4 linked regions of the Saccharomyces cerevisiae S288C genome follow. The gene in region 1 interacts genetically with each later gene. Each region holds a gene or a part of one and is shown in the gene's direction. Other genes may lie near its edges. The genes, in order: POG1, MET5, MSN1 and MFA2.

Evidence for each region.
Region 2: mutations in POG1 (region 1) and MET5 together harm fitness more than expected from each alone (negative genetic interaction), as found in Saccharomyces cerevisiae (one large-scale study listed by BioGRID).
Region 3: mutations in POG1 (region 1) and MSN1 together harm fitness less than expected from each alone (positive genetic interaction), as found in Saccharomyces cerevisiae (one large-scale study listed by BioGRID).
Region 4: mutations in POG1 (region 1) and MFA2 together harm fitness more than expected from each alone (negative genetic interaction), as found in Saccharomyces cerevisiae (2 studies listed by BioGRID).

Annotation. Positions count from the first base shown.
Region 1 is NC_001141.2:128,435-133,003, forward strand, and holds POG1 (Pog1p), read left to right. Parts: upstream 1-2,175; coding exon 2,176-3,231; downstream 3,232-4,569. Other genes in the region: putative glucosidase SIM1, read left to right, coding at 1-1,147; QDR2 (cation transporter), read left to right, coding at 3,810-4,569. UniProt on the Saccharomyces cerevisiae protein: Transcriptional activator which promotes cell cycle recovery with CLN2, after pheromone induced G1 arrest, probably inhibiting the ability of STE20 to activate the pheromone response pathway.
Region 2 is NC_001142.9:678,124-686,014, reverse strand, and holds MET5 (sulfite reductase (NADPH) subunit beta), read left to right. Parts: upstream 1-2,729; coding exon 2,730-7,058; downstream 7,059-7,891. Other genes in the region: GTPase-activating protein IML1, read right to left, coding at 1-1,448; TTI2 (Tti2p), read left to right, coding at 7,309-7,891. UniProt on the Saccharomyces cerevisiae protein: Catalyzes the reduction of sulfite to sulfide, one of several activities required for the biosynthesis of L-cysteine from sulfate.
Region 3 is NC_001147.6:98,038-102,771, forward strand, and holds MSN1 (Msn1p), read left to right. Parts: upstream 1-1,771; coding exon 1,772-2,920; downstream 2,921-4,734. Other genes in the region: RRI2 (Rri2p), read left to right, coding at 1-1,451; non-canonical poly(A) polymerase PAP2, read left to right, coding at 3,438-4,734. UniProt on the Saccharomyces cerevisiae protein: May function as a transcriptional activator. Increased dosage of MSN1 restores invertase expression in yeast mutants defective in the SNF1 protein kinase, and msn1 disruption reduced derepression of invertase in the wild-type. May affect SUC2 expression.
Region 4 is NC_001146.8:350,363-353,848, forward strand, and holds MFA2 (mating pheromone a), read left to right. Parts: upstream 1-2,051; coding exon 2,052-2,168; downstream 2,169-3,486. Other genes in the region: ALF1 (Alf1p), read right to left, coding at 1-309; Sm-like protein LSM7, read left to right, coding at 578-595, 692-1,021; YNL146C-A (uncharacterized protein), read right to left, coding at 1,024-1,218; YNL146W (uncharacterized protein), read left to right, coding at 1,353-1,655; MPF1 (Mpf1p), read right to left, coding at 2,458-3,486. UniProt on the Saccharomyces cerevisiae protein: The active factor is excreted into the culture medium by haploid cells of the A mating type and acts on cells of the opposite mating type (type alpha).

The DNA of each region.
Region 1 (4,569 bases):
TGCTGCCTTAGCCAAGAATGAGAAAATCTCTGATGCCGCTGCATCTGCCACTGCCTCAACATCTCAAGGGGCATCCTCCTCCTCCTCCTCCTCCTCGGCAACTTCTACCCTAGAAAGCAGCTCTGTTTCTTCATCTAGTGAAGAAGCTGCTCCAACATCTACTGTCGTGTCAACTTCTTCCGCAACCCAATCTAGTGCTTCTTCTGCCACTAAATCTAGTACTTCTTCCACTTCACCATCTACTTCTACTTCTACTTCCACTTCTTCTACTTCCTCTTCCTCTTCCTCCTCCTCCTCCTCTTCTTCTTCTTCTTCTGGCAGTGGTAGTATCTACGGTGATTTGGCCGACTTTTCAGGCCCAAGTGAGAAATTCCAAGACGGCACTATTCCATGTGACAAATTCCCATCTGGTCAAGGTGTCATTTCTATTGACTGGATTGGCGAGGGTGGATGGTCCGGTGTGGAAAACACCGACACTTCCACTGGCGGTTCATGCAAGGAGGGGTCCTACTGTTCCTACTCCTGCCAACCAGGTATGTCTAAGACCCAATGGCCATCCGATCAACCATCTGACGGTAGATCTGTCGGGGGTTTGTTGTGTAAAAATGGTTATTTGTACCGTTCTAACACTGACGCGGATTACTTATGTGAATGGGGTGTCGAGGCTGCCTATGTTGTTTCTAAACTAAGCAAGGGTGTCGCCATTTGCAGAACCGACTACCCGGGCACTGAAAACATGGTTATCCCAACCTATGTTGAAGGGGGTAGCTCTTTGCCATTGACCGTTGTTGACCAAGATACTTACTTTACTTGGGAAGGCAAAAAGACATCTGCTCAATACTACGTTAATAACGCCGGCGTCTCAGTTGAAGATGGGTGTATCTGGGGTACTTCTGGATCTGGTATTGGTAACTGGGCACCATTAAACTTTGGTGCTGGCTCCACTGGTGGAGTGACATACTTATCATTGATTCCTAACCCAAACAACAGCGACGCATTGAACTACAACGTCAAGATAGTTGCTGCTGATGATTCATCCAATGTCATCGGTGAATGTGTTTACGAAAATGGTGAGTTCTCTGGCGGTGCTGACGGGTGTACCGTCTCTGTTACTTCCGGTAAAGCTCATTTCGTCTTATACAATTAAGCTACGTGACTACTACTTTTCCTTTTTTTTTTCTTTTTTCGAACACATCTCACCCCCTATACCTCACACAATCACTATGGTCCCCTTTTCTTTTTACCGATATTTATACTGTCCACCTTTTTCTTTTCGTTAATGGCCTCAATGTTTCTGTACCATTATCCAAGTGAACTTGTTAGACGACCAAATATAGCCAAGATTCATTACGATTATCTTTAACTAGCAAGTAGTATTCTTGGATAGAGAGATTTTCAAAGACGGAACAATTTTAAATAGATTTACATAAGAAAACACATACTGTCCGATACCCATAAGAAATTTAAGAACTCTTTTCATCTTCAGCTTTCCGGCCTCCTTTTACTGTAGCCTGTTCCTAGACAGCTAAAAATAGTACATATGCAGCTCTGCAATAGTCTCAAAGGGGATATTGTGTAGGTTTACGAAATCATCACATTTCCGAATCAGGACATGAAGGCACAACTTTCCGCACGTAGTGTTTTCAGCCCCCAGCGCCTGTCGGCGCGAAGAGGATCTGCGGAGATGAGCTTTGCCCCGCCATTACCCGTAAAATATTACTGTTTTGGGCAATTGTGGATCAAAAAGGGAAAATGCGGATGGTGAAAAAAATTTTTGGAAATTTACTGCTTCAGATGGGGGAACTTTGTAAGTTCTTCCTTTTTTTTCGTAGAGGTTGGAAAATTCAGAGTGCTAAGAAATTAAAAGGTATGCACTGCCTATTCTCATAAAAGCAAAAGTGCACAAAAATAATAAGGTGTGAAGCAATAGTAGAAAAGACACTGGGAACCCAAGGTATCTTATTTTAACAGATAAGTAAAACTAAGATCAAATCGCGTACTGATATCACTTAAGGTTCGCGTATTTTAAAGGCTACGCAGAAGAGGAAATAAATTGCGTGCAATCCCTGCGCTTAACTCATACAAAAAGGCGCAAAACATTTCAAGAGTCCCACGATTAATTGCAGAAATTGAAAAAAAATAAGTAAAGACGAAAATCAAAGTGGATGCCATATTATGAAGCAGGAGCCACATAGACAATCCGAAGAAAAAGAGAAGCCGAAAGGACCAATGGCTGTTGAACGAGAGCAGCATACCTCATTATCTTCTGGTACAACCGTGACAGCTAGTACAGGAGACGAGAGTACCAACAGTAGACCAGTGGAATCATCGCAAACAGAAAAGTCTCTATCGCTTCGAATAAGAATATTAAAACAACTTGGGTTTGACGATATTCAAGAACTAAATGCATGCGACACTGGCCTAGTGGAGCAATTTTTAAACGTACGATTGATAAACGACACAAAAGAACTAGAAAAGATACGCGAGTCAAATCTTGCGAAACTAAACCAGATTATTGATAAATGTATGGAAAGTGATAAAATAAGTGATTCGACATTAAACAAGATTCTTGATATGTCCATGAATAGAGATACAAATAATGATAACAACAATCATCTTACGATACCGTCTCCGATAACGACAAAGAAACGCAAGATAAACGCCTCCGAACTTGCAAGTCCACGAGGCCATAGAAGATATAGATCTGATATACCTACAGTGTCAGAAGTTGAGACAGGGGTCGGATACCCTCAAATACACCAGCAACCAGGCGCATATACTTTACCTATGCCTGCAAATCAGTGGATGAGCAACCCGTATATGCAACCTCCGCAACCACAAGTGCAACAGATAATGCCGCAGTATTTATATCCACCAGGGATGGGACCACAAGCTCAGCTTCCTACAATGAGCTCAAACTCGGAGTCCCAGACACCAGTGATGAGCTCACAGTTTCTTTCCTTGAACCAGCATGGCCTTTACCAACAAAATATAGGTGCTCATCCGGTAATGAGTATGGGCCCACAGGCAAATATATACGGGCAGCAGCACCAGCTGCAACCTGGTCAGGAACGAGACCAGTCAAGAAAAAGTTTTAGTCATAGAAGGTCACAAAGTGCCAATATTTCCATGGCAAATTTTAGGTCGCCCATGCGAAATCCCCAGCCGGCTTCGTCCCAAAGGCCCGTCAATTTTCTCATTCATACACCAAAACATCCTCCTCCCACATGACGTGCAGTAATTTTCATTTTTATCACCTAATTTCTAAAACTATATCCCTTCCTAACCTTCATTCGATGCATCCGTCCACCTTACTTCAGTTCAAAAAAAAATATATATCCATATATATGCTACAGTGTTATTATTACGATTTCTTTGCCTTTACTCCTTATCTCATTTCAATCATGAATAAACAGGATATTGATAATATATGCTGTCATTTTGGATTCAGTCTGCTTAACTGTCTTGTCCACCCCCGGTGTTCTTACCCGTCTGAGCGGTCGTAAGACGGAGGTAATAATTTTTCAGCATCCTGACCTCCCCCCCAAATCTGTGCCTTTCACCACATTTTTCTCGAGAAAATGTGTCTTGGCTCAGATGATGTCGTATGAGCTACTGGACTTTTTTTTGTTGGCCCTGATGAAAATAGTAATGGCGGTTACAGAACAGATAAACGGCGTCACCATCTTTTCCTAGATAAAGAAGCAATCTCTAGATAATGGGGTATATAAATATACATTGTAAAAACGGCAAGTCAGTTGCTGGTCATTTTAGTAGAAACTCTGCTCTCAAACTTGAGTACTGCAACGATGGCAGGAGCAACATCAAGTATAATTCGGGAAAATGATTTTGAGGACGAGCTTGCGGAGAGTATGCAGTCATATAATAGAGAAACTGCAGACAAATTGGCTTTGACTAGGACCGAGAGTGTAAAGCCAGAACCGGAGATAACCGCTCCGCCTCACTCACGCTTTTCCCGTTCTTTCAAGACAGTTTTAATAGCTCAGTGCGCTTTCACTGGGTTTTTCTCCACAATAGCAGGTGCCATCTACTATCCAGTTCTGAGCGTTATAGAAAGAAAATTCGATATTGACGAGGAATTGGTGAATGTCACTGTTGTAGTATATTTTGTATTTCAGGGTCTTGCCCCCACATTCATGGGCGGGTTTGCCGATTCACTGGGCAGGAGACCGGTGGTGCTTGTCGCAATCGTCATTTATTTTGGTGCCTGCATCGGTCTTGCTTGTGCTCAAACGTATGCTCAGATCATTGTGCTAAGATGTCTACAAGCCGCCGGTATTTCACCCGTGATTGCGATTAACAGCGGAATAATGGGAGATGTTACTACTAGAGCCGAGCGCGGCGGGTACGTTGGATATGTTGCTGGATTTCAAGTTCTAGGTTCTGCGTTCGGAGCCCTTATCGGTGCCGGATTATCATCTAGATGGGGATGGAGAGCCATCTTTTGGTTCTTAGCAATTGGATCTGGCATTTGCTTCCTAGCCTCGTTTTTAATTTTGCCAGAAACAAAGAGGAACATATCCGGGAATGGTTCTGTCACCCCAAAAT
Region 2 (7,891 bases), on another chromosome or scaffold:
AAAAGTGGAACTATGTGCAATGGAGCTTTTGAAAGACATATTAAATCCATCGTCATTTCAAGAGAGAGTAGTTTTTTTCCTGTTAGCCTTAATAAACTATAATCAACGTCAAATAATCCAGACCCTGGTGAAATAATCATGACGTGCGTTGTAGTGTGTCGAAGATCTAATTGCTTGAAAGGATCCGTTAAAATTGTCGTGGCAAAATTGACCAATTCGAGAAAATTCGACTTGATTACAGGTGAAAATCTTCCATTCGCTACACTGTAACCCTTATCCGTTTGCTTGTTTAATAAATCTTTTCTGATTTCCATAAATTCTTCTCTTAATGTTTCCATAATATCAACCCAATGGATAATACTGACTTGATCTACAACTATCCTAAAATAATCCTGTGAATTTTTCAAAGATTCGCCGGGTGTTAAGTCCTTGAATGATGTATCAGACAAGTCCATTGATATAGCGAAGGCTATAGTGATAGTATGGTGGGTGTCCACATCTTTCCATTTTTTGAAGATCTTCGGGAAAAATGAATTAACCATCTTTTGAAATAATTGTTCACCAGTTTCTTCGAAGTTCCACATTTCATCAGTTATTTGAATCAAAAAAATTAATCTGGCAGATTCGGACCGAAAAATTATCCTTGTTTGTTCGCCAATATATCCAGAAACAATCTTCTTACCATTTCGATAAATTCCCTTAATAGTACCTCTGATAGAGTCTAAGAATGCCAGTCTTTGATCCATAAACACACATGTATCTACCAGCTTAGATGATAGAACCCACATATCACCTCTATTTAGTAGGCAATCTTTGATATTAAACTCTACCACATCTGCCTGTAAGTCAAATTTGTTTGGTTTCAATTTTATCCATATCCTAGACCTAGAAGGCAAATCTAACAAAGTTTGCAGTTGACCCGAAAGTATTGAAACATTAGATGTTTTTGCCCTTCTTTTAGTCTCTCCGTCAAAATCTTTTGCAATAAAATAAATTTTCTTATCTCCGTTCGATGCAGATGGATTTTTGTGATATGTTTTCAATTCTACCAAATCACCAGGTTTTATATCCGGGAACTCAACTAGATTTAGCATCACTAAATTCTCGGAAAATCGGGACTCATGATAGCCTAATTCAGCTTGATACGCCTTTATTTTCAGTCCTGGAATATGATGGCGATGGACCCGTTCCCCATTGTCATAATTGTTGTCACCACCATTGTTGACGTTATCGTCATTTTCCTTATTTGAAATCAGCTTTCTGCCGGAAGCCCTTTGTTGAGAACCAAACTGCTCTTTCTTTTGTCTTAAATTTCTATTGGAACCTACTATCAAATTACCCGATGATAAGGATATGCTATTTGCGTGAGTAGTATTGCTAGTCCTTGGAGTTTGTGAATTGATGGAAGAAATTGGTCTTTGTTTCTTCCCATGCAATTTAGCGAACATCCTTAAAAAGTGTCCCTTGTCAGTGCTGAGTTATTTCCCTGCTTAAAAAGTAGTTACAGAAACAATTCGTTGTTCTGTCACTTACTATCTTTTAAACAATAATGATTAACATAGATAGTGATTCAAATAGTCACGTGATCTCTTTTAGAGAAAGGACTTAATCCGTACACAATGATTTAATTTTTCATTACCTTATAATGTGATAGTCATAATAGCAATGAAGGATTAGTAATTACCAATATAAGAGCTCTAGCACATTAGCTATGAATTTGTCAGCCGCACCAAACTAACATAAAGGTCTTACTATGTTAAAAGTTCTTGTCCTTGAATAGAAATAAATGAATGAATCTAGTACCCTTCCCCATTCACCTAAGTTGGCTAGCCATATTTTCGGAAAAAGAGTGGGAGGAACAAGATGCTAGATAAACAAATATTCATGTTATTAAGCTTAGAATTTTGGCTCTGTTTTGTTTATTTCCAGATTTCTATTTTCTGCTATTCATCCAAAATATATTTTCTCACAAAAGCTGTTAATTTGAAACTAATGTTAAACAAAACATCTCACTTCAAATTGAAGCCAAATTAGAACCTAAGTAACCAACACACGCACAACTTTCATCCCTTATCCCACTTCTTTGAAAACTTTTAGAAGCCATTGATGGTATTGTACATTTACCTATCTTAGCAGATTCCTTATTAGCCGCCGAAATGGGTAATAAGTATTATAATCACTAAATACGAAAAATTTATTCATACCAACCCGCAACATGAACTACAAACCTTTGGGTATATAATGACAAAGACGTATCAAACCAACACATAAGGCTATTTTCAGGCAACTAATATGCTGTTTTATCTGCGGAATTTCACCAACTGACTTTTACTAAGCACTCAATAAAGATGCAGGTAAAATACGTGGATTTATGAATCCGGGTAATATAATTTGTCCACGTGATATTTCACAGAATGAATTTCATCACGTGCGTATTATCTCTTAACTCATAATGCCACAATTACCACCACACAGAGGCAGGAATGGTTTAACTGCTAAGAGACACTGGAAAATTTGAGTCATGGAGATGCGACGAATTACTGGCCGCTGCAAGCAGTTATATAAAGTGTTGGAAGACGATAGTTTTTAATGTGAAATAAAATTGGGATATAGAAAGGTTCCTTTGCTTGTTATTTTTTTTCCATCGTCTTGATATTTATTCAGATCCCTTATATACTAATAAAGTAACAGTAGGGAACGGGAACCAGAGAAAAACAAAAGATTGGCGAATGACTGCTTCTGACCTCTTGACGCTCCCACAATTGTTGGCGCAATATTCCTCTAGTGCTCCCCAAAATAAAGTGTTCTACACTACTAGCACAAAAAATAGTCATTCATCCTTCAAAGGGCTAGAATCTGTTGCCACAGATGCTACTCATCTATTGAACAATCAAGATCCATTGAATACCATCAAAGATCAACTCTCTAAGGACATTTTAACTACCGTTTTTACAGATGAAACTACTTTGGTCAAATCCATCCACCATCTATATTCTCTTCCTAATAAACTTCCATTGGTGATTACAGTGGATTTGAATTTGCAAGATTATTCCGCAATTCCTGCGTTAAAGGATCTTTCTTTCCCCATCTTAATATCTTCTGATTTGCAAACTGCAATTTCAAACGCGGACTCTTCTTATAAGATTGCTACAAGTTCTCTGACCCCAGTTTTCCATTTTCTTAACTTGGAGAAAATTGGCACGAGTACAGCTATTGAACAAGACATCGACTTTCCTACCTTGGAGATTGCTAACGAAGAGACTAAAGTAGCATTATCAGAAGCTACTGATTCATTGACAAATTTTGAACTGGTTAAAGGTAAAGAGTCAATTACCACTGTCATTGTTAACCTGTCACCATATGACGCGGAATTCAGTAGCGTATTGCCTTCAAACGTAGGATTGATCAAGATTAGAGTATACAGACCATGGAATTTTTCCAAGTTCTTGGAAATACTGCCATCTTCTGTTACCAAAATCGCCGTTTTACAGGGTGTCTCTAAGAAATCGCAATCAAACGAATTTCAACCATTTCTTTTGGACTTCTTTGGCAATTTTAATGAATTAGTTTCTAGGAACATCGAGCAGGTAGTGTTGACTAATATTGGTAATGTGAATGATTATGGCAACGTTATCAACACCGTCATATCGAATATTAACAAGAAGGAACCAGATAATAACTTATTTTTAGGTGAATCCAATGAAAAGGCTGAGGAACAAGCTGAAGTTACTCAACTTATTTCTTCTGTCAAAAAAGTTGTGAACTTAGAAGACGCCTATATCAAAGTGCTAAAACAGTTATTTTCATCAAATCTACAAATTTTGAATCAATTTTCCAGTGAGACAATTGAACCAAGTAATCCAGAATTTGGTTTTGGACGCTTTTTAAAACAAGAAGCCCAGCGTGAAGAATTGATCAGCTTAGCAAAAACCTCTCTTGATCCAAGTCTTTACTTGTCCGAGGATGCAAATAAAATTGTTCAACTATTATCTAAATGGTTGTCATTCAATGGACGCGATCTTGACGAAGCTCAATTACAAGAGGCCAATGCGACAGGTTTGGAAATATTTCAGTTATTACAATCTAATCAAGATTCCTCTACTGTCTTAAAATTCTTAAAGATAGCTCCAACAAGCGATTCTTTTATTTTCAAATCAAGCTGGCTAATTGGCTCCGATGCCTGGTCTTATGATTTGGGTCACTCAGGTATTCAACAGGTTTTATCCTCCCGTAAAAACATTAATGTTTTATTGATTGATTCAGAGCCATATGACCATAGAAAGCAAAACCAGGATAGAAAGAAAGATGTTGGTTTGTACGCCATGAATTATTACAGTGCCTATGTTGCCTCTGTAGCAGTATATGCTTCTTACACCCAACTATTGACTGCAATAATAGAGGCATCTAAATACAATGGTCCTTCTATTGTCTTGGCTTATTTGCCGTATAATTCCGAAAATGATACTCCATTAGAAGTCTTAAAGGAAACCAAAAACGCCGTTGAATCTGGTTACTGGCCATTGTATAGGTTTAATCCTGTTTATGACGATCCATCAACAGATAAGGAGGCATTTAGCTTGGATTCTTCGGTTATCAGAAAACAATTACAGGACTTCTTAGACCGTGAGAATAAGCTTACCCTATTAACCAGAAAAGATCCATCTTTGTCAAGAAATCTAAAGCAATCTGCTGGTGATGCGTTGACAAGGAAACAAGAAAAAAGAAGCAAGGCTGCCTTCGATCAGTTATTGGAGGGTTTGTCCGGCCCACCGCTACACGTCTATTATGCTTCTGACGGTGGTAATGCTGCAAACTTGGCAAAGAGACTAGCAGCAAGGGCATCTGCAAGAGGTTTAAAGGCTACTGTTCTGTCCATGGATGACATTATTTTGGAAGAATTACCTGGTGAAGAGAATGTAGTTTTCATTACTTCCACGGCTGGGCAAGGTGAATTCCCCCAAGACGGTAAGTCTTTCTGGGAAGCTCTGAAAAATGACACCGACTTGGATTTAGCTAGTTTGAATGTTGCTGTTTTTGGTCTCGGTGATTCTGAGTATTGGCCACGTAAAGAAGATAAACATTATTTTAACAAGCCTTCACAGGATTTATTTAAGCGCTTGGAATTATTGAGTGCCAAAGCCCTAATTCCCTTGGGACTGGGTGATGATCAAGATGCTGATGGTTTCCAAACTGCTTATTCTGAGTGGGAACCTAAATTATGGGAAGCTCTTGGTGTTTCCGGCGCTGCTGTTGATGATGAGCCAAAACCTGTTACAAACGAGGATATTAAGAGAGAATCTAATTTCTTGAGAGGTACTATCAGTGAGAACTTAAAGGATACTTCTTCAGGTGGTGTTACTCACGCTAATGAACAATTAATGAAATTTCACGGTATTTACACCCAAGACGATCGTGACATTAGAGAAATACGTAAGTCACAAGGCTTAGAGCCATACTATATGTTTATGGCAAGAGCTCGTTTACCAGGTGGTAAGACCACTCCACAACAATGGCTTGCTCTGGATCACTTATCTGATACTTCAGGCAATGGTACCCTGAAATTAACAACAAGGGCAACCTTCCAGATTCATGGTGTGCTAAAGAAGAACTTGAAACACACATTGAGAGGAATGAATGCAGTTCTTATGGATACATTAGCTGCTGCAGGTGACGTGAACAGAAATGTCATGGTTTCTGCTCTACCAACCAATGCCAAGGTTCACCAACAAATCGCTGATATGGGAAAATTGATTTCTGATCATTTCTTACCAAAGACTACGGCCTACCACGAAGTTTGGCTGGAGGGCCCAGAAGAACAGGACGATGATCCATCCTGGCCATCTATTTTTGAAAACAGAAAAGATGGTCCAAGAAAAAAGAAGACTCTAGTTAGCGGTAACGCTTTGGTCGATATTGAACCAATTTACGGTCCAACTTATCTGCCAAGAAAGTTTAAATTCAACATCGCCGTTCCTCCATATAACGATGTGGATGTATTATCTATCGATGTCGGTTTAGTTGCTATAGTTAACCCAGAAACTCAAATCGTGGAGGGTTATAATGTTTTTGTTGGTGGTGGTATGGGTACCACTCATAACAACAAGAAAACTTACCCAAGATTAGGGTCATGCTTAGGTTTTGTTAAAACTGAAGACATTATTCCACCACTTGAAGGTATCGTTATTGTCCAAAGAGATCACGGTGACCGTAAAGACCGTAAGCATGCTCGTTTAAAGTATACTGTAGATGATATGGGTGTCGAAGGCTTCAAGCAAAAAGTGGAGGAATACTGGGGTAAGAAATTCGAGCCTGAGAGACCATTTGAGTTTAAATCTAATATTGATTACTTTGGATGGATTAAAGATGAAACTGGGTTAAACCACTTTACCGCATTTATTGAAAATGGTAGGGTTGAAGATACACCAGATTTGCCTCAAAAGACAGGTATTAGAAAGGTTGCTGAATACATGCTTAAGACTAATTCTGGTCATTTCAGATTGACTGGTAATCAACATTTGGTTATCTCTAATATTACAGATGAACATGTTGCTGGAATAAAATCTATTTTAAAGACCTATAAATTGGATAACACCGATTTCAGCGGTTTGAGATTATCTTCATCTTCCTGTGTTGGTTTGCCAACATGTGGTTTAGCGTTTGCCGAATCTGAACGTTTCCTACCTGACATTATTACTCAGTTGGAAGATTGTTTAGAAGAGTATGGTTTACGCCATGATTCCATTATTATGAGAATGACTGGTTGCCCTAACGGTTGTTCTCGTCCATGGCTAGGTGAATTAGCTCTTGTTGGTAAAGCTCCACATACTTATAACTTGATGCTTGGTGGTGGTTACCTCGGCCAAAGGCTAAACAAATTGTATAAGGCCAATGTGAAGGATGAGGAAATTGTCGACTACATCAAACCATTGTTTAAAAGGTATGCTTTAGAAAGAGAAGAAGGGGAACACTTTGGTGATTTCTGTATAAGAGTAGGTATCATTAAACCAACCACCGAGGGTAAATACTTCCATGAAGATGTGTCTGAAGATGCCTATTAATGATAGCATATGACATAGTAGGACATACTATTGGGTTTTCTTCCCACATTTATTTATTTTTTTCGCAATTGAATATAACTTTTTATTTTATAGAAACATATTTATTTGTATAATCTTGTATATTAACAGTTAAGACTCATTATTGTTATCCTTCGGCTAGTTCGGTTTTTCAATAGCAGATGAGAAACGAAAACTATGAAGAATGAAAACGAGGTGAAGAATAAAATCATATAACAAAATATTGAAAAGAATGACGGCCGTAACTGATATCATCGATGAATTGAATGATTCGAGTCTTTCTTCTACAAGGCTTCGAGAGTTGTGTCTCCAGTTACGAAAGAAGACAGATACTGGATGTGCAATTACGGTGTCCGATGAGGTCAACCTTATTGAATCTCTCTCATATCACTCCATATCTCCAGGAGTAGACATACAAATCAACACAGATGTTTTGCAGACTATAGATTACTACTTTCAGCGTAACAAAAGTGAACATGACGAAATTATGTGCGTCCTTATTTCTAAGTTACAGCCACTACTTTTAAAACGCAAAAGCAACTTCGAACTCAAAGAGCAACGTAATCTTGGTCTCAAACCCACGCTTGGAATGTCTTTGAAAGAAGATAACCTAATGCAGGCGTGGGTAAGTCAGGGTGGCTTGAAAGGCATTCCGTTATTCTACGTAATTCTGTTACATTTGAAAAGGAGAGACATATCTACGAATCTTTCTTGGATTATTCCAGGAATTCTAAACATACTAGATGATACCACTGATATAAGAAGAATTAAACTTCGTGGTGTTCTGCTCCTACAGACGCTATTAAATCATACCT
Region 3 (4,734 bases), on another chromosome or scaffold:
AAATTGATGGAAATATATTTGAATTACTTTCTGATACTTTTGAGGTATTGGCACCCAAGTGGGAAAGAGTATTCTTGTTCGACATCGAGAAAGTTGATAGGGAAAATATGATCTGCAAAATTGATTTCCAAAAAAACTTCATGGATCAGTTTCAATGGATTTTAAGAAAGCCTGGCAAGGATTGTAAACTCCAAAATCTCCAGCGTATAATTAGAAAAAAGATATTTATTGCCGTTGTTTGGTATCAAAGGTTAACCATGGGGAATGTATTCACCCCGGAAATTTCTTCCCAAATAGAGATTCTTGTGAAAGATAATGAATGCTCTTCTTTTGAGGAAAATAATGATTTGGAAAGTGTATCTATGTTACTGCAGTATTACATATTGGAGTATATGAACACTGCACGAATAAACAATAGAAGGTTGTTTAAGAAGTGCATTGACTTTTTTGAAATGTTGATATCTAAGTCGCTTACTTTCTCACAAGAATCTGGACTGATGGTAATATTATATACCTCTAAGATTGTATTCATTTTAGACTCTGATTCAGAGAATGATTTATCCTTTGCGCTGATGAGATATTATGATCGGAAAGAAGAGCTAAAAAATATGTTCCTCTATATCTTGAAACACTTGGAAGAGATGGGAAAACTTCGGGAGAGGGATATTACCTCTTTGTTTCACAAGTTCATTCTTAGCGGCTTCATTTTCACGAGCATGATTCTAGAAGCAATTAGCACAGACAAGATTAATCCTTTTGGTTTCGAACAAGTGAAGATTGCGCTAGGCAGCCCTATTGTTAACGTATTAGAAGATGTCTACAGGTGCTTCGCACAACTGGAACTAAGACAGCTGAATGCAAGTATATCTCTTATTCCTGAATTGTCCGTAGTACTAAGTGGAATTATTCAAGATATTTACTATCTGGCGCAGACATTAAAGTTGTGGAGAAAAATTGCACGATTATACTCCTGTATCTCCATAAGTGACATTATAAGTATGCTGCAAATAAGTGATGACAATGAAATGACAAGAGATGATTTGCTAACAATTTTAATGAGGTCAATAATGAAAAATAGATCGGTTGTGTATTTTAAGTTAGATTTGACAAGTGATTTAGTCTATTTCGGAGACGAGAATAAAGTCATGCTACCGAGATGTTCTAAAGAAGAATTTCGTCTTATGATCTCTCCCAAGGATGAAGAAACCACTGAAAAGGCCAGGCTAATAGATTTTGAGTACGTTAACGATGTCGCGATTTATAATAACCCAACAAGAATAAGAACCAAATCCTCTAAAGAATTTTTCAATACATTAAGAAAATCTAGGGAAACTGTAAAATTACCGAGGGTAAGCAACCAGTCGAATGAAGATACTTTTCTACCATCGTATATGAAGTTTTCCAACAAGTACCTCGAGCTGTGCAAACTGGCCTCTAACAATCTGGAATAGAATGTCGATCAGGCACGTTCGTGTAAACATTACGATTTTGGAATTCCACTTACATAAGATAGCTTCTTTGTAAAAGCCGTTCGAAGATTTCGTTTATAGTGATGCTTTTTCTGGAGAGATTTAAGATAATAAGGATATGTGGAAGGAAATGAAAATGTACACCTACAAAGCGTTGATGGTATGGAAACTATCGACCATAGTTTGTTAAACAGGAAATATTTGCTTGAGGGTAAAGTGTTCTGATTCATTATACAAAGCCCCTTGCTTATAAGAAAAGAAACCAAATCAGAAAAGGAGATTATTTCAAGGTAGGCATCGAAATGGCAAGTAACCAGCACATAGGAGCTTCAAACCTAAATGAGAATGAGGCTATATTAACCAACCGCGTTGCTGAGCTGGAAAGGCGTATGTCGATGTTTGAGGGTATATTTCACGCGTTAAGTAACCGTCTCGATCTTCACTTTAAAAAATATGATGTAGTGGTAAACTCCCAACAGCAACAAATCAACGAACTGACCGCGTTTTTATCAACATTGCTGAATGACCAACAACGCCACGCTGAAATTCTCAGTGAAAAATTAAGCGGAACGTTGCATGGGGTGTCAGCTACGTCAATATCCTTAAGCCAAACTCTTGACCCACAAGGCTTCACTGATGGAACTACGGCACCAGGAGCTCCTAGGAATTATACTTCAGTGCCTATGAATAATGATCAAACTGCTCATCCGCAAAATGAAGGAGCTGTTAGTAATGAAACACTTTTTGAGGACATTTTGAATGGAAATTCACAAGAAAATGATAAGAGTCAACAACAAACTAACAGCTCAAATTCTATAAGCCAAGAAAATAATAGCACCAACCCTTCAGTGGACACTCGGTTCAACAAGCCGCAAAATTATAATTCCAATTTAGTCCCATCCTTGGAAGAGTATTCAGCAAATCCACCTAACAATGATGGTGGCCAAAGTCAAGGACTGTACATAAGCAGCAACTCTTCTCAATCACGGCAGTCTCCTAATCTCCAGAAAGTTTCTCCTAACCATGAAAATGCGGTTGAATCAAATGCACAAGAGAGCGTGCCGACATTTGAGGAGGAACAGTATGAGACTAAAACAGGATTGAAACGGAAACGAATAGTCTGCACAAGACCCTTCGAATTTATCAAGTCACCACACTCTGTGATGGAGGTTTGGAAGGAGTATACAGAAGGTGTTAACGGGCAGCCTTCTATAAGGAAAATGGAAGCTCTTTATCAAACGGCATGGAGGCGAGATCCAGCAGTAAATAAAAGATATTCGAGAAGAAAGGTTCTTTGGAAAGCCATTCAAACTGGCCTTAATCGTGGGTATTCATTAAACTATGTTGTTGAAATATTAGAAAACTCAAGATATGTTAATGATAAACAGAAGGTTAAACAACCTATTGGTTGGTTATGCCACAGTTCTCATATTCCAGAGACTTTGAAGTGACATTTGCTTCTTGTGTATTCACCTTTATCCCAAATTAGCCCTTGTAACACTTATGCTTTTCTTAATAAATTAATAATTGGACTTTCCTTTAAAGTGGGTTGTATCTGTAACAATAATCTCTAATAATATCCTATAAAACTCAGAAGTCAGCCAACAACAATTGTATACGTATACATATCTATATAATATGCCTTGTACTTTACGCTCTTGAATTTAGAATAGCTGAACACCTAACTGAATTTAAGTAAAGGATCCCAAGCGTGAGATATTTAGGTTTACTCAGTTTTCTTATCTTGCCTTTTGATTATCACGTTGAGTGTCGAAGAAACCTGTATTCATCCTCGGCTTCTTGTATATGATTCTAAAATAATGTGTGAAAAAAAAAATAAAATAAAAAAAAGAGGAAAATAATATAGAATAACTATTAAGTTTCATTAAAAAAAAACCATTTGAATATACGACCAAAAACGTTACGCTTTCATAAAGTGTGAATAAGCAAGGGAACTATACTTGAAATATGGGGGCAAAGAGTGTAACAGCCTCTTCTTCAAAGAAGATTAAAAACCGGCATAATGGGAAAGTGAAAAAGAGCAAGAAAATCAAGAAAGTACGGAAACCACAGAAGTCTATATCCTTGAACGACGAAAACGAAGTAGAGATTTTACCTAGTCGTAATGAGCAAGAGACAAATAAATTACCTAAAGATCACGTCACGGCGGATGGAATTCTTGTATTAGAACATAAATCTGATGATGATGAAGGATTCGATGTCTACGATGGACATTTCGATAACCCTACTGATATTCCCTCGACTACTGAAGAAAGTAAAACGCCTTCATTAGCAGTGCACGGGGATGAGAAGGATCTTGCTAACAATGATGATTTTATCTCTCTTTCTGCTAGTTCTGAGGATGAGCAAGCCGAACAGGAAGAGGAGAGGGAGAAACAAGAATTAGAAATTAAAAAAGAAAAGCAAAAGGAAATCCTTAATACTGATTATCCATGGATTTTAAATCATGATCACTCCAAACAGAAAGAAATCTCGGACTGGCTAACCTTTGAAATCAAGGATTTTGTTGCCTATATCTCACCAAGTCGTGAAGAAATTGAAATTCGTAATCAAACCATAAGTACAATAAGAGAGGCTGTCAAACAGTTATGGCCAGATGCTGATTTGCACGTGTTTGGATCATATTCTACCGATTTGTATTTGCCTGGTTCCGATATTGATTGCGTGGTAACGAGCGAACTTGGTGGTAAGGAAAGTAGGAATAACTTGTATTCGTTAGCAAGCCATTTAAAAAAAAAAAATTTGGCAACAGAGGTTGAAGTTGTCGCCAAAGCTCGCGTTCCAATCATCAAGTTTGTTGAGCCACATTCAGGGATCCACATAGATGTTTCATTTGAGAGAACAAATGGTATTGAAGCAGCAAAGCTTATTAGAGAGTGGTTGGACGATACCCCCGGCCTGAGAGAATTAGTCCTTATCGTAAAACAATTCCTACACGCAAGAAGACTAAATAATGTGCATACCGGTGGTCTTGGTGGGTTTAGTATTATATGTCTTGTCTTTTCCTTTTTGCATATGCACCCACGTATAATAACTAACGAAATAGATCCAAAGGACAACTTGGGTGTGCTCCTGATAGAGTTTTTTGAACTTTATGGGAAAAATTTTGGTTATGATGATGTTGCACTGGGATCATCGGATGGATATCCAGTATACTTTCCAAAATCGACATGGAGTGCTATTCAGCCTATTAAAAATCCATTTTCATTGGCCATTCAAGATCCAGGTGATGAATCAAATAACA
Region 4 (3,486 bases), on another chromosome or scaffold:
GGGGATTCCTTCCGCTTGCGTGGCCAGCTGGTTAGAGATTGATTGGGCATTAGAGTCTGTAACAACCACAATAAGCTCCTCCTCTCCTTTTAGGAAGTTGGCATCTTCATCCTCATTTGAATAGGCACCCCCCTTTTTAGTACTATATATCTCCTTGTTGTCGTACTGTCTTTTCACAACTATTTCCATATCCTCTGGTTCCACTCCGGTAACATGGTACAATCGGTCCTTGAACTGCCTTAATTTAAGCGAATTTGGTAATTCCTTTTCTGTACGGACCAATTCACTCTCTATGACAACTCTAACCATAGTTTTGCCATGTAATTTTTTTTTCTATCTCTTTATTTGAATTCGTTGCTCTATGTTCTTGTCGCTTGTCTTCTTCAACTGCCGTTTCCCTGCGAGCCGGAAAAAAGTACTGTTCTTTCGAACAAAGGCGAAAAAAGCTGTAGCTGAAAACAGACAACTGGGAAACGACAATTAAGAATACGCATGTACGTGTATACTACTACAGTAAAAAAGAAAGTTATTTGAGAGCAGCACTTTGTTTACTACACAGAACATTAACCAAAAAAACATGCATCAGCAACACTCCGTATGTTTCACTTCTTATTTTCTTCCGTGGCAATAACCTTCCTTTTGACTTATTTATACTAACATTATAATAACTATGTTTCCTTTTTGAACTAAGAAATCAGAGAACAAACCACAACAGCAAAGGAAAAAATTCGAAGGCCCTAAAAGAGAAGCTATTCTGGATTTAGCGAAGTATAAAGATTCTAAAATTCGCGTCAAATTAATGGGTGGTAAATTAGTTATAGGTGTCCTAAAAGGCTATGATCAACTGATGAACTTGGTACTTGATGATACAGTAGAATATATGTCTAATCCTGATGATGAAAACAACACTGAACTGATTTCTAAAAACGCAAGAAAGCTAGGTTTGACCGTCATAAGAGGTACTATTTTGGTCTCTTTAAGTTCCGCCGAAGGTTCTGATGTACTATATATGCAAAAATAGGTTTAATAATATAATCTCATATAAACTCCCTTCCTTACAGTTGAAAACAAAATCAAATCACGGTATGGCATTTCTTTACATATTCTCAATACCTGACTGACATAGTATGCGCTACATAGTTTTGTCCTATTTTTTTTACACCGCGATTTGAAGTCTAAAGCCAGAGAATGAGGAAAAACGAAACAAACTGAGATCATTTGTATAAGGGGAGTCACTGTACAGCTGCCAATACCAATTTTCCTTCTGCCAAATCAAAAAAGTATCCGCATACACATACACCCCTCCCTCTACAATCTTAATTATTTACTGATTCCTTTCGTATTTGTCCAGTATGAGCAATACTAAGCATACCACTTCTCATCACATGGAACTCAAAAGGATCATTATCCTTACACTTTTATTCATACTCATAATGTTGATATTTCGAAACTCAGTGTCCTTCAAAATGACATTTCAAGAACTACTGCCACGATTTTACAAAAAGAATTCAAACTCAGTTAGTAATAATAACAGGCCCTCATCTATTTTCTCGGAAAACTTGGTGGATTTTGATGATGTTAACATGGTCGATAAGACCAGACTGTTTATTTTTTTATTTTTCAGTTTCATCATTACTATACCGTTTATGGTATAAATTAGAAAAGTTAAAGCAGCATGTTTTCATTTGAAACAAATACTAATGCAATAATAGGTACACCATCTACTACATAATTAATTGATAGTTTCCTTTTCCGTTAAGTGCATGCATAGGACGCCCATAATTTTTTAAGTTAAAAAAGCATGTATTTACCTATTCGGGAAATTTACATGACATGGATGCCATAAGGAACGAAAATGAAACATGCATGTCAGAGGAAAAAGAACAAAGCGAGAGGAAAAAGCTGTTGCATTACCACGTAATTTTGTATATAAATATCTGATAAATAACCATTTTATTTCCATCCACTTCTTCTGTCGTTCATCCGTTCATTGACATCACTAGAGACACCAGCGAGCTATCATCTTCATACAACAATAACTACCAACCTTAATGCAACCGATCACCACTGCTTCCACACAAGCCACTCAGAAGGATAAATCCTCTGAAAAGAAAGACAACTATATAATCAAGGGCCTCTTCTGGGATCCCGCCTGTGTTATCGCTTAATTTTTGACGACAACCAAGAGGTCAAATCAATATCTACCCTTTCATTTATTACGTGTTGCTGGCAAACTAATTTATTCCAATTCTCTCATCATTAGCTCACCCTTTCCATACTTTTTCATACTTTTATACATATGTATTTGTAGTTATCACTTTAACAGATTTTTTCATGTTTTTCTTTTCTGATACGCCTTTCCCTCCGCAGGAAATGAAAGATGAACCACCCATTACATTCGATTTTTTTTTTAATTATATTTTTGACTATTATTTAATCATTAAAAACACATATATTTCATAAATTCGTAAGGTCGTTAGTTCTATCGTAAAAGTGAAAAAGTTTTGAGCCAGTTTTCAAAAACCCGCAGGATCCCACTATGTATGGCTTTAAATAATGGTTTTTCACGTGCATCAAGTCCGTACTATCTTCACCACTATAAACTCTTATAGGTGGATTATTCGTTTCGAATGCTGGTGGCAGTGCCGGTTTGAAAATAATCTTACCTACCCATGGGTGGTCTTCCGTTAACGGTTTGATGCATCTTAATGAGTCTTTGATATATCTTTTCCTTGAAACTAGTTGTGTCGCCGGTGCCCACTTCGAATCGTTACTGGATTGATTCTTATTTCCACATTTTAGTGACAATTTCTTTGGAAAATCATGATTTAAACAACCAGTCACGGAAAAGCTTTTCGTACTGAATATTGTACCGTACTCAACGTCCGCATTCTCATAGCGAGATTCTCTTTCATCCAAATATACCAATCTATTGATGTCATCATCCTCAACATATCCATCTTCATCATCCTCTTCGTAATTAGCATCGTCTTCGTCTTCGTCATCATCTTCATCTCCATTTACATCTTCATTGCCACGGTTTAACTTTTCTTCACGATTCGTACGCTCAGCAGAATTCGAAATAGTTGACCTTCCTGTTCCCTCGTATACCGGTTCAAAATTATTAATTTTCAACACTGACCGATCACAGCGCAAAGGATCTATAGGGTTGGAATTCGATCTACTTCTGAAGTTTTCATGGATGGATGTTTGTGCCGTTAAAACAGAATGTGCTGTGGGAGAAAAAGTGGAAGATAGAACAGAAGTATTGGTATTAGTAGTACTACCATTGTCATCGATTTCTTCTTGAACACTATTCAGTTCCTTCGATCTCATTTTTTGTCCAATGTCCATATTAGAGTTTTTTCTCGAACTGGAATCTGTTTTAAAGAAATTTCTTAGTTTTGATGTAAATAAGCCACAAAAATCAGTTTGAGAACTCTCCCCTGCCAATGAACCAGAGTCATTGGGCCCATTGGAGTCATG